2 linked regions of the Bombyx mori genome follow. The protein of the gene in region 1 interacts with the protein of each later gene in a biochemical or structural test. Links are inferred from orthologs where the notes say so. Each region holds a gene or a part of one and is shown in the gene's direction. Other genes may lie near its edges.

Region 1 (5,971 bases):
CTTCGCTTCAGGTGATCCGTTCGCTGTTTCGCTTCGAGTAGTTCCGTTTACTGACTGACTGCGTGCGGGTTTACTTTGCTTATTTTTGGTGACATGTGGGGTGATTATGTCGCAGTGGTTATTTATTTTTTTACACATATTGACAACCTACACATTGTCTATGCTTGAAAACGAAACGCATTTTCGGGGATTCCCATGAATAATAATACGTTTACGTACTCGCTTGGAACAGAGTAGGGGAATTATTGCGCGCATATAAGTGAATATGATGTGCGTTAAAGTACTCTATCCTATAAGCCTATTTTCTTATTTTTAGAATTATAATTGCTGCTCATTAATCATTAAAAAAATTAGAATACGTTAGTAGAAAAATTCATATACTAATGTTCACGTTAGCATTTGGGGTCAGAGCTTTGTTTACTTATGCTGACAAGGGGAAAGGGGGGGTGAATGATTGTAATAAATTTGCTTACGTAATACTGGAACAAGGTCTTCTTCCAATGAATTCCGATCATACACAAATGAATTTTCAATAATAACACAATTTGGTTCGCGGTGTTGCAATATGTCGATTTCGAATTGTTCGAGATGATACCGTCATCTCGTTTTTACCATCCCACCGCCCGCCATCGGAATAGAGTTCATCCACAGTACGTTTCCAGAGGTCTTTTTTGCCGCGTACCATCCGGCTATGGAATGAGCCCCTCCACGGTGTTTCCCGAGCGCTATGACATGTTCTTCTTCAAACGAGTTAAGCGGTAGGCAGCGGCTTGGGTCTGCCCCTGGCAATGCTGAAGTCCATGGGCGACGGTATCCACTCACCATCAGGTGGACCGTGTGCTCGTCTGCCTACAAGGGCATTATTCCCTGGGCGTTGTCCTGCGGAGTTGTATGTATGTACCTGTTACGTGTGTGGTGACGCGCAGACCGCACCCGCACAACCTGGTGGGGCGGGAGCGCTGCGACCGCGGCGTGTGCTCGGTGCGCACCGACGTCACGGAGGACAACAACGAGTACCAGTTCAGGAACCTTGGGATACAATGCGTCAAGCGCAAGGACATCGTCGCCGAGCTGCGCCTCCGGGAGGAGCTCAGGGTGGACCCCTTCAGGAGTGAGTTCTATTAGAATCCAATTTTTTTATTCTAGGAATAATCACACGTTCACGTCACGCAATACACGAACACAAATAGTTTGGTAGAGTCGTGTTTCGAGCTATATAATTTTTAAAGGTCTCTAAACGTTGACGTCATTATACAAAATACTGCTTTCTGTGTCTGTCTGGTATGACTCGTAACATCAAATCCGTTTGCGAACTAAAAGTGCGTTTATTAAGATCAGATTTGAGAGAAGACGCCCAGTTGCAGTCATTCAGTTGTTACAAGTATGCGCCAGTATAGTAAGGTTCGCGAAGGGACCAAAGCTTTTGAATTGAGATCGTATAACGTATTTTGTTTACAAAGTACAACTTATTGCTAGCTTTGTACTGCCACGGGCTCCGATGCGTTACCCGAAATAGCTCGTCCAAAAATATCCCTAATTGTTCAACTACACGCGCGACCGCCATGGAAGGAAATGCGGGTCGGCGCGCCGGATCACTCAAAATTTCGGTCAAATATTTATGAAATAAATAGAAATTTAATTTATGGTGACGGTTTCATGAGGAGGTGACAGGACGTCTTGTGAGTCCGCACGGGTAGGTACTACCACTCTGCCTATTCCTGCCCTGAAGCAATAATACTTTACGGTTTTAAGGTAGGGACAGCCGTTGTACAGTAAAAAAACGGAGACCTTAGAACTCATGTCTCGAAGTCGATTACGCCATTTACGTTGTAGTTATGCCCCGATAACCACTTAAAACCAGGTGGACCGTGAGCTCGTCCAACAGCAATAAATAACAAAAACACAAATGAAGACGTGTCAAGTTGTTCATAATTTCGTCGCTCCTCGTAATTAACGACATAAATATCAAAATCTTGTTTATTGCCATTTAAGTTTATCATAGAAGAGCACACAGCCCACCAGAAAGCAATGCTGGATCTAAAGTCGGAGAGTGGCGCCTACCGCACCGCTTCCGAGCGCCTGCCATCTGGCTTCCTCTGGCCTCACTAGAGAAAGCCGGATGGCGACACGTGCTAGTGTAGGTCGGGTGCATGTAAAGTGTACGTTTGGCACAGCGGGGTTCGACCACCGCTCGCACACGCAGAGCATCGACCTCAACGCGGTGCGGCTCGCCTTCCAAGTGTTCGTGCCGGACGGCGCCGGGCGCATGCGCCGGCCGCTGCCCGCCGTCGTGTCCGACATCATCTACGACAAGAAGGCCATGAGCGACCTCCTCATCATGCGCTCCTCGCACTGCTCCGGCACCATCCGCGGCGGCACGCAGGTCATCCTGCTCTGCGAGAAGGTACGTCACTACTCTGTCGTCTTGTGTCCCTACCTCGCCCAAGAATAGCTTGTGAAGCCCGTTCTGTTTCTCCTGCGGAGAAAGCAAGGGTCCCCCCTTGAAGGGGGTCCAGAACAATAAATAAAATCCACTTCAATTAGAACTTCATATTCACGACTCAAAATGAGCGGTATCATCATACTGTGTTGGTACATTCTGCTAAATATTTAATACTGGGTAGGATGTAAGTTTTCTTTTTTCCAAAAAACATTCAAAACTCTAAACTCAGTGATCGATAACAATAATGGCGTCAATATTCAGGTATCGAAAGAAGACACGGCGGTGATATTCTACCAGGAGGTGAACGAGCAGATAGTGTGGGAGGAGACCGTGACGCCGTCCTACGTGCACAAGCAGGTCGCCGTGGTGTTCAACACGCCGCCCTACCGCGACCCCCAGCGCGACGAGCACGTCACCGTGAGTAGCGCGCCCGCCGCCCCGCCGCCCCCCGCCCCCCGCCCGCCCCCCTAACCACGCGCCTCCCGTTACAGGTACACTTCCAGCTGAAGAGGTTGACGGACGACGCGCGGAGCAACTCCTTCGCGTTCGAATACATCCCGGACTTCCGAGGTACCACTCGCCGTAAGCCGCCCCCGGACCTGTCCTTCCTCTCCCTTCTCCTCGCTGAGAAACGCGACACCAATAATAACAACAAGGATGAGGCCGTCTCCGTCCCCTCTTCCCCCGACCCCGTACCCTCGCCCCCGCCCCCCGACCCCGAGCCCGCCGCCGCCGAGACTAACGGACATGCGGAGCCGCACGAGAAGAGCCTCGACGATCTGCTGGAGCAGGTCGCCGAGCTCGACGAGATCTACTCTGAGAGCCGCAGTCGCCTGCAGCGCGCCGCCGACGCCGCCGACGCCGAGACCGACGCCGACGATTTCAACGACGCCGGCACCTACACCAGCCTGCAGCTCGCTTTCAAGAACCCGCTGCCCATCGCCGAGCCCGAGCCGCCGCCCTACGAGGACGTGCACGTGCAGACGTTTCGCGGCCCCATCGTCGAGTTCACGCCCTTGAAGCGCGACACGGACGAGGCGCCCCCCCTGCCCCCCAAGCGCGTCCGCAAGTCCGTCTCCTCGGAGTTCAGGTCCAGCCAGACGTCCGTGGAGAGCGCGGCGCGGCCGGCCCGCCTGCCGCCGCCCGACGAGAAGCTGTCGGCGGCCCGGAGCGAGCCGGCGCTGCCGCCCGCCAAGAAGCGCTCGTTCTTCTCGCGGCTGTTCCGGCGGCGCGACAAGTCCCCGGCGCCCAGCGTGCAGGAGGCGCGCGCGCGGCCGGTGGGGCGCTCCGTGAGCAGCGTGTCGGGGCAGCGGCCGGCGCGCTGGGCGGCGGGGGGCGCGGCGGGGGGTGCGGGCGGGGGGCTGCGCGCGGCGGACAGCGTGACGCACGTGTCGCTGCACGAGGACGTGTCGGTGTGCGCGGCGCCGCCGGCGGACGCGATCCTGGTGGCGGAGAGCGTGCTGGCGCTGGACGCGTCGTCGTTCCGGCGGCTGCAGGACGAGCTGGAGCTGACGGAGGCGGAGCACTACGCGCTGTACATGGCGCTGGCGCCGCGAGCCACCGCGTCCGAGTTCGACGACCAGAGCTCGTACTACTCCCCGCTGGACGGGAGCAACTTCCTTCGTCAATGAGGGGCTCCCTGTGCCCCCTCCCCCGAACCCCCACTTCTAGTCTAATTTACGCTTTCGTTACTATTTATTTTGTTAAGTTTTCGTTTTTCTTTGTTTTCGTTACAAATTGTTAATTAAAATATCTCATATACTTATTTGATTGTTGAGAAACTGTCGATTTGTCCGACTAATATTTTGATTTAAATTTTTTTAGATTCAAATTACATATTGGGTAAAAAGCGGAAGACCAAAATGCCATTAATGGCCGCGTATGAGCAAGAAAGTAAGTCTACATCAATTTTTATCGATTTATTATCTAAAGAAGTTCCGATTGCAGCAAATTCTATAGTTTACATGAATAACGGTGAAAGGTAGAATTTGCTCACTGACGGGACCGCGCATTTTTTTAAATTAATTATTTAAATATGTATCATTACATGTTATTTACATTTATACGGTGAAGGGTATCATCATTAAACTATGATTTACTCCACACATACGTCGTGCATTTGTTTCTTACATTTTTGTCATAAAAAATGATTGTTAGAAACAATTTTTATATAAACTTTTACTAAAACAAAATCTGTTGAAATTCTCAAAAAATACACACCAACTTTGTCTGATTATTTTAAAATTTATTTAAAAAGAAATGTATTTCCAACAAAATTTATTATGTATAATTAAACACAACATATATTCTTATATCTTATACCGCATTCTATATTTATAAGATTAATATAAATATTGGTGCTTCGCACATGGCAACCCCTAAATGTTGCCACACCACAAATGAATAGTTTACATTGAAAACGATGCGTTCAGTTTAATTGATTATTTTAACAACTAATGTTTTCTTCTAATATGATATAAGTTTAGGATTTATTTATTTAATGGCAGTGGATGTTACTAACAAATATTTTGGTGTTGAATAAAAAAAAATACAAAAAATGTTGCGTAAAAAATTAGGGTAGGGTATATGTTGTTCTCATTGTTGTTTTTTTTAAAACGAAGGTATACCTTTAAGTTCTAAAGAAAAATCAGTTCCAATATGATTGGTATGAGCTTATGAAACACAAAATTAAATTATCAGTGCTGGTCTTAGAGCACCTACAACGAATGCGCTGGCATAGAGAGGAAACGCGGGGCGCACTAGGGGCGGAATGTCCGGCCCCGGTCCCCCTCGCCACACAGCCACACAAACAATTTTTCATCATCCGATTTATCTTTGCCTCCGCCGGGACCCATGTATCTATTACATACAAAAGGAATTAACAATAGGACCAATTACAATTGCAAAGTTTTAAAAAATTAACTAAATATCAATTTAACTATTTTTGTAGGTTTCGCTTTTATAATGTTGTACTTATGAAGTGTATTCAAGTGATGTCCTAAGACAAGCGGTCAATTTTATTAGTAGTTTATGAGAAAAATACAATAATATGGGCATGGCGGCTACTCGATGAGAAGTAGGAGTGGGTAATATCGGTTTTACCCCGTATCGAATCGTATCTATATATCGAGGATCAATATCGGATATTGAATCTATATATTGATGGATGCTAGTAGATTTTCTCGATTCATGATATTTGAGATTTGAAACGATACGCTGATATAATATCGTAGTAGATATAGATTTAAGTCAACGTTATACGGTTGGTTTTCTGATATCAATTTATAATATGATTTTAAAGTAATAAAAAGAACATGAAAATAAAAATATCAAAAAAACTTTCCTTCATGCTTTTATCAGGCTTAGGACTGGCTACATTATTTTCAGTTTTTAGTATTTTGTCTTAATTTAAAATTACAAAATATACCAAAAGAGTGTAGATTTCAAAAGTTTAATACAAACACAAGAAATAAACTCAATTATTTGGATTCAACTAAAAATAGAAAAATGTGTACTTTAAAAATCAAA
Region 2 (4,935 bases), about 16 Mb from region 1:
ATGCGTGTGTGCGTCAAATACATGGTATGTAGTGTGTGTAATGTTTTCTTTCTTGATTTAATGTATCTTTTATACATTATTTTAATAAAATATTAGCATTGTGCACTTCTTCTCTATATTCTGTATAAATGTGGAAAATTTCATACTCCTCCGTCCGCGCAATTTTCGTAAAAAGGGATACAAAGTTTTTGCTTCACGTATTAATATATAGATATGTGACCCCGCTCTATCCGGGAGTCATCTGTCATACCAAGAGTCAGTGACAGTCGATTCTACAAGCTCAAATATATGCCACTAGAACATTGTGATTTTTTGGTCTATTACATGTGCACAAATTTAGTTATTTATTGAGACTAAGCCACAAGGCGCCACGCGCGATCTCTAGCATCATCACGTCACAGTCTTCACACGACTGACCCCAGCCTGATGTTATTGAAAGTTGAAACGGTTCATACATTATACTCGTTCCGGTAATAAAATAGGTCTATAGTTCAGAAGTACGAACATATGTATATAAATAGAGATATTATTTTACAAAACTACATTAAATATGGAAATTAGTGTGTCAGAATATTCATTGAATATCGTCGCCACGTAAAGTGTTATTATATTGATAATTAAATTAAATACTTACGACCTGAATTCATATTCCAATAAATAAGTAGTTTTTTTAAATATTAAGCAAAATCCCTGTCTTTGCGAACTGATAGATGGAACTGTTCTTATCAGCGACTCTAGGAGAATAAACGAAAGTAGCCCTCAAAGGATCTGATGCGGTTGGATACAGAATCCAAATCACTCACACACTCATTGAATATTGTAATCGAATCAGTTTTTTTTTTTTTGTGTATAATGAAGTAATGCCAATGTCCATAACGGAAAATTCAAAAAGGTAAAACAGAAACAGTCGATTCGGGAAAACCCTCTTTCAGCACTATCTCCTGATAACGTTGATAATAAAATTGGGTTTTTCTGTACGTAAACACGTTTTGTTGTTTTAGTAACGATATAAGCTTGCCTACGTGTATCCTTGTGTCATTGTTTTGTTCCCAACTCGTATGTTTCGAAAAACACAAAGAATTCCCACTGTTTACAGAAAAAAGAGAAATGTATTCAATTCAGCAGTAATTAGTTTCTTGATATACCTACGTTCTTATAATATATGTAGGTAGGTAATATTTATGTAGAATTGTTACAATGAAATAATCTAAAATTTATCGTGACTCATATTATATGCTCGTAATTTTAAATATAATGTCGTTGTAACAGACAACTAAGGAAATTATTTTCAAAATTGAAGTAAACCGTTCGGTCTACGAGCCCAGGGAACATAGTTTGCTGTAGAAGCAGTTACGGATTTGGTCGGGGAACAAACATACCGATATGTAGAAAAAAAAACCGATTTGTTTGCACACAAAATAGATGCTTTTATATATTCAAATAAATATTCTGTATTATTAAAACATAACGCGTAAAAACAGGAAAACCTGAAAATTTACCGCAGTTTCACTGTGTGATTTTATCACGTTATTATTGCTTTCCAAATCTGCGAAAGAGTATATTTTTGTAATAAGTGGGTTTGCCAATGATTGTACATTTATTTATTGCTTAGATGGGTGGACGAGCTCACAGCCCACCTGGTGTTAAGTGGTTACTGGAGCCCATAGACATCTACAACGTAAATGCGCCACCCACCTTGAGATATAAGTTCTAAAGTCTCAAGTATAGTTACAACGGCTGCCCCACCCTTCAAGCCGAAACGCATTACTGCTTCACGGCTGAAATAGGCGGGGTGGTGGTACCTACCCGCGCGGACTCGCAAGAGGTCCTACCACATGTGGCGAGGGTCAGAGAGACGTAGCTTTGGACCCGAGTGCGGTCGTTGAATTAACTTGTTGTGTCTGTGGTGATCAGGAGAGGCTGGCGGGGTGGACGGCGCTGCACATCGCGGCGCGGCGCGGGGACGCGCGGCTCGTGGCGTTCCTGCGCGAGCGGGCGCGGGGCGCGGGGGGCTGGCGCGACCAGGCCGGCCGCACGCCGCGCTGGTACGCACGCCGCAACGCCGCCCGCCACGCCTTCGGCCCGCTCAGACCGGACAGCGACTCCGATTGGGACTCCGATGATGATGTAAGTTAGCTGTCCACACGAATCGACTAGTGGCTATAGATGATAGCTCTATGCCACTCCTTATTTATATCACAAGTATCCACTTGTAACAGCACTGTTTCTAAAATAATAATAATAACAAGCCTGTTATTCCATGCAAATAGTAGGTTACATACCGCCCATACACAGAGCCTCCCAAAAGGTGGACCGACGACCTATTGAGGTTCTGGAATTCACCGGATGCAGGCAACGCAGAACCGGTCGTTGTGGCGAGGCTTCGGGGAGGCCTATGTCCAGCAGTTCACGTCTGTAGGCTGAAAGATAGATAGATATACACATACGTCAGGATGTAACCCTGTTGCTCTCCATCCACATGGACTAATGAAAACTATCCCCACTCTATTTATCATTTTTATTCGGAGAAACCATATCACCCAGATGACTGCAACTAATATTATGTTTACACCCTTGGTGTATTCTTATATAAGTTTGAAGCTGTCCAGTTTCCACGTTTATTTAATATCAGTAGGCATTTCTCTTTGCAAAACTAATAAACTAATATGTCGTTGTCCATAGACGAACGACAGCGACAACGAGAGTCTGTACGAGAAGATCAAGGAGTCCCGGAGCGGCTCGTCGATAAACGTCGCCTAGGACACCAGGACACCGCCCCCTCGCCCCCCGCCCCGGACACAGGCGGACCTCACCCCGCGCCCCCCTGCGCGACCTCAACGCCGCCTTGGATAATGTTATTACGTTCCAATCTGATATGTATCATAGTTTATTAATTTCTATAATATAAGCAGAGTTAATTATGTATATGAAACAGAGTTTGTTTGTCAGTCGTCGATGGTCGGAATGAACGTGTAACAAAACAGCAGGTCCATTTTTACAAAACGAGTTTGCCTCGAAAAATCTGTCCTGTGCTCTCCGTCTCAAATGTTGTCGACATCGAAATGATCGTCGTTAAAGTTATAAAGTTGTTAATGAATCGGACAAGAGAAGCGCCCGGACGGATGTACAGTGTGCTGTATGTAGCATAGCGTATTGTAGTCTTCCTTAGGAAATGTTCAATATTATTGATACTGTATAAATAGATTTGAATACTTCTAGTTAAAGTTACGCTTACGAATAATGTTGTTTAGTCATAGTTATTTAATTAAAACATTTGTTTTTGAAACTTCGCCTTTTCATTTCGAACTCTGTACCTCTGAGGACATTTTTTTCGAGGAAAAATCGTTGGTCGTTTGTGTCGCGATGTGACGTCACAGGGATGATGTCACTATTACATTAAGGGTGCTCCATATACGATCGCACGGAGCACCGACGCGGGCGGGGCCACGGGTCGTGTGCGGACCGCCCTATGCGCATCTGTTAACAAATATCCAGATTTAGATTGGAAAATATTCTTTCAAGAAAAAAAATTTTTGCGATTTTAGGGTCGTCACAACCGATCGTCTCTCAGTTAACTGTTGCATATCAATAAGGGTTTGTTTGAGCATTTAGTACATGCGATGCGATGCGATGCTAAGTCGGCTGCGACGCGATCGTTAGGGCCCCTAGTGGCGGTAAAAATAAATAATGACGTGTATGTAACATACATACTAAAAAAAAAATTATTTATGTACTCTGCGTATATTTCATATGAATATTCATCTATTATTTAGTGTGCATAATTAAATTATAATCTCAAAATTTTATAATTAATATAAATCTTGGTTATCTCAAAGATCGTTCTCATGCGAGTTTTGAAAAACGCAAGTATTTTATTGTAGCTTCAGAAGCTTTGTCTTGCTCGAACTTTTAAGTAAGCGGCAGTTAAGTCAGGGCCTAATTAGACGCGATTGAGGAAAATAGCCAAAAGAAAACAATAAATCTGAATACAGCAACTGTTTTCTATTTCATGTTTTCTCGATTCTGGGAAATTAATATTAAATATAACGTATATAGTACTTGCATTTTTAAAAATTGAAATGACAGAAAAAATATGTTAAGCCGAAACCCCCTTTATTTATTAGTTAATAATATTTATATAAAGACAATAGGATCCGGCGCGCTCTCTCACAGAACCGACTCGACGGACCGCAGGTTCGGGGGTCGCCACGAGCCTCGCCGACGTCACCGAAATACTCTGTACTTTCCAAATTATATGAATCCCACCTCTAAGTTAGATGGAACAGGGAAACAACACATTAAATATTACAACATGTTCCTTTCACATACAAAAATAAAATGTTAGAATGAACGACTAATACGTATTATGTAATGATTATAAATATATGGGTGACAAGTGTAATAATATCATAAAAATATACATTGTATACAGCGGCTAAGCTGCTTGCCGTGTTTATATTGTTGTATGAAAATAAATTACATATATTTTATCAAAATTTGTTTTAATTCGGTTAACTAACGTTCTGTGTGCGCTTGCACATTCTACTTCACGAGTTACGGCATAGTTCAGTTACCAGTTAGCACCTCTAACAAATTTTTATAGGTGTCAGAATTTAGAGACAAGAATCGTTTCTAGAAAGTTCCGCCCGTGCGTCGCGTGGCAGCCCTATGCTCCGTCTAGACGCGATGCTGCGGGCCTCTGATACTATCACAAGTCTGCGCGCTGTATGTCTACGTCATCGAATTTAAAACGAAACCGCGAGCGATGTTTTGTCGTCACTGGATTTGTGTTCGCAGACTGACAACTCACCCGGCGCGGCGGTGAGTAGTCGCTGATGAGTAGGTATCGACCGAGGCGCCGCATTACCGCTCAGGGTTTTATTCAATCCTCGTTTAAAGAGCAAGGTTTTTTTTTCCTACCCAAGCTAATAGCCT

The links.
Region 2: the proteins of Dorsal (region 1) and cact form a complex in vitro, tested with the Drosophila melanogaster proteins (2 studies listed by BioGRID). The link is inferred for Bombyx mori from reciprocal best matches to the Drosophila melanogaster genes dl and cact.

The regions. Positions count from the first base shown.
Region 1 is NC_085118.1:1,076,037-1,082,007, forward strand, and holds the end of Dorsal (embryonic polarity protein dorsal), read left to right. Parts: intron 1-926; coding exon 927-1,111; intron 1,112-2,174; coding exon 2,175-2,404; intron 2,405-2,704; coding exon 2,705-2,860; intron 2,861-2,934; coding exon 2,935-4,074; 3' UTR 4,075-4,238; downstream 4,239-5,971. UniProt on the Drosophila melanogaster protein: Embryonic developmental transcription factor. The lateral or ventral identity of a cell depends upon the concentration of this protein in its nucleus during the blastoderm stage.
Region 2 is NC_085118.1:17,178,241-17,183,175, forward strand, and holds the end of cact (cactus), read left to right. Parts: intron 1-1,914; coding exon 1,915-2,127; intron 2,128-2,682; coding exon 2,683-2,760; 3' UTR 2,761-3,286; downstream 3,287-4,935. UniProt on the Drosophila melanogaster protein: Involved in the formation of the dorsoventral pattern. It inhibits nuclear translocation of the dorsal morphogen in the dorsal region of the embryo. Acts as a negative regulator of the NF-kappa-B (rel) signaling pathway.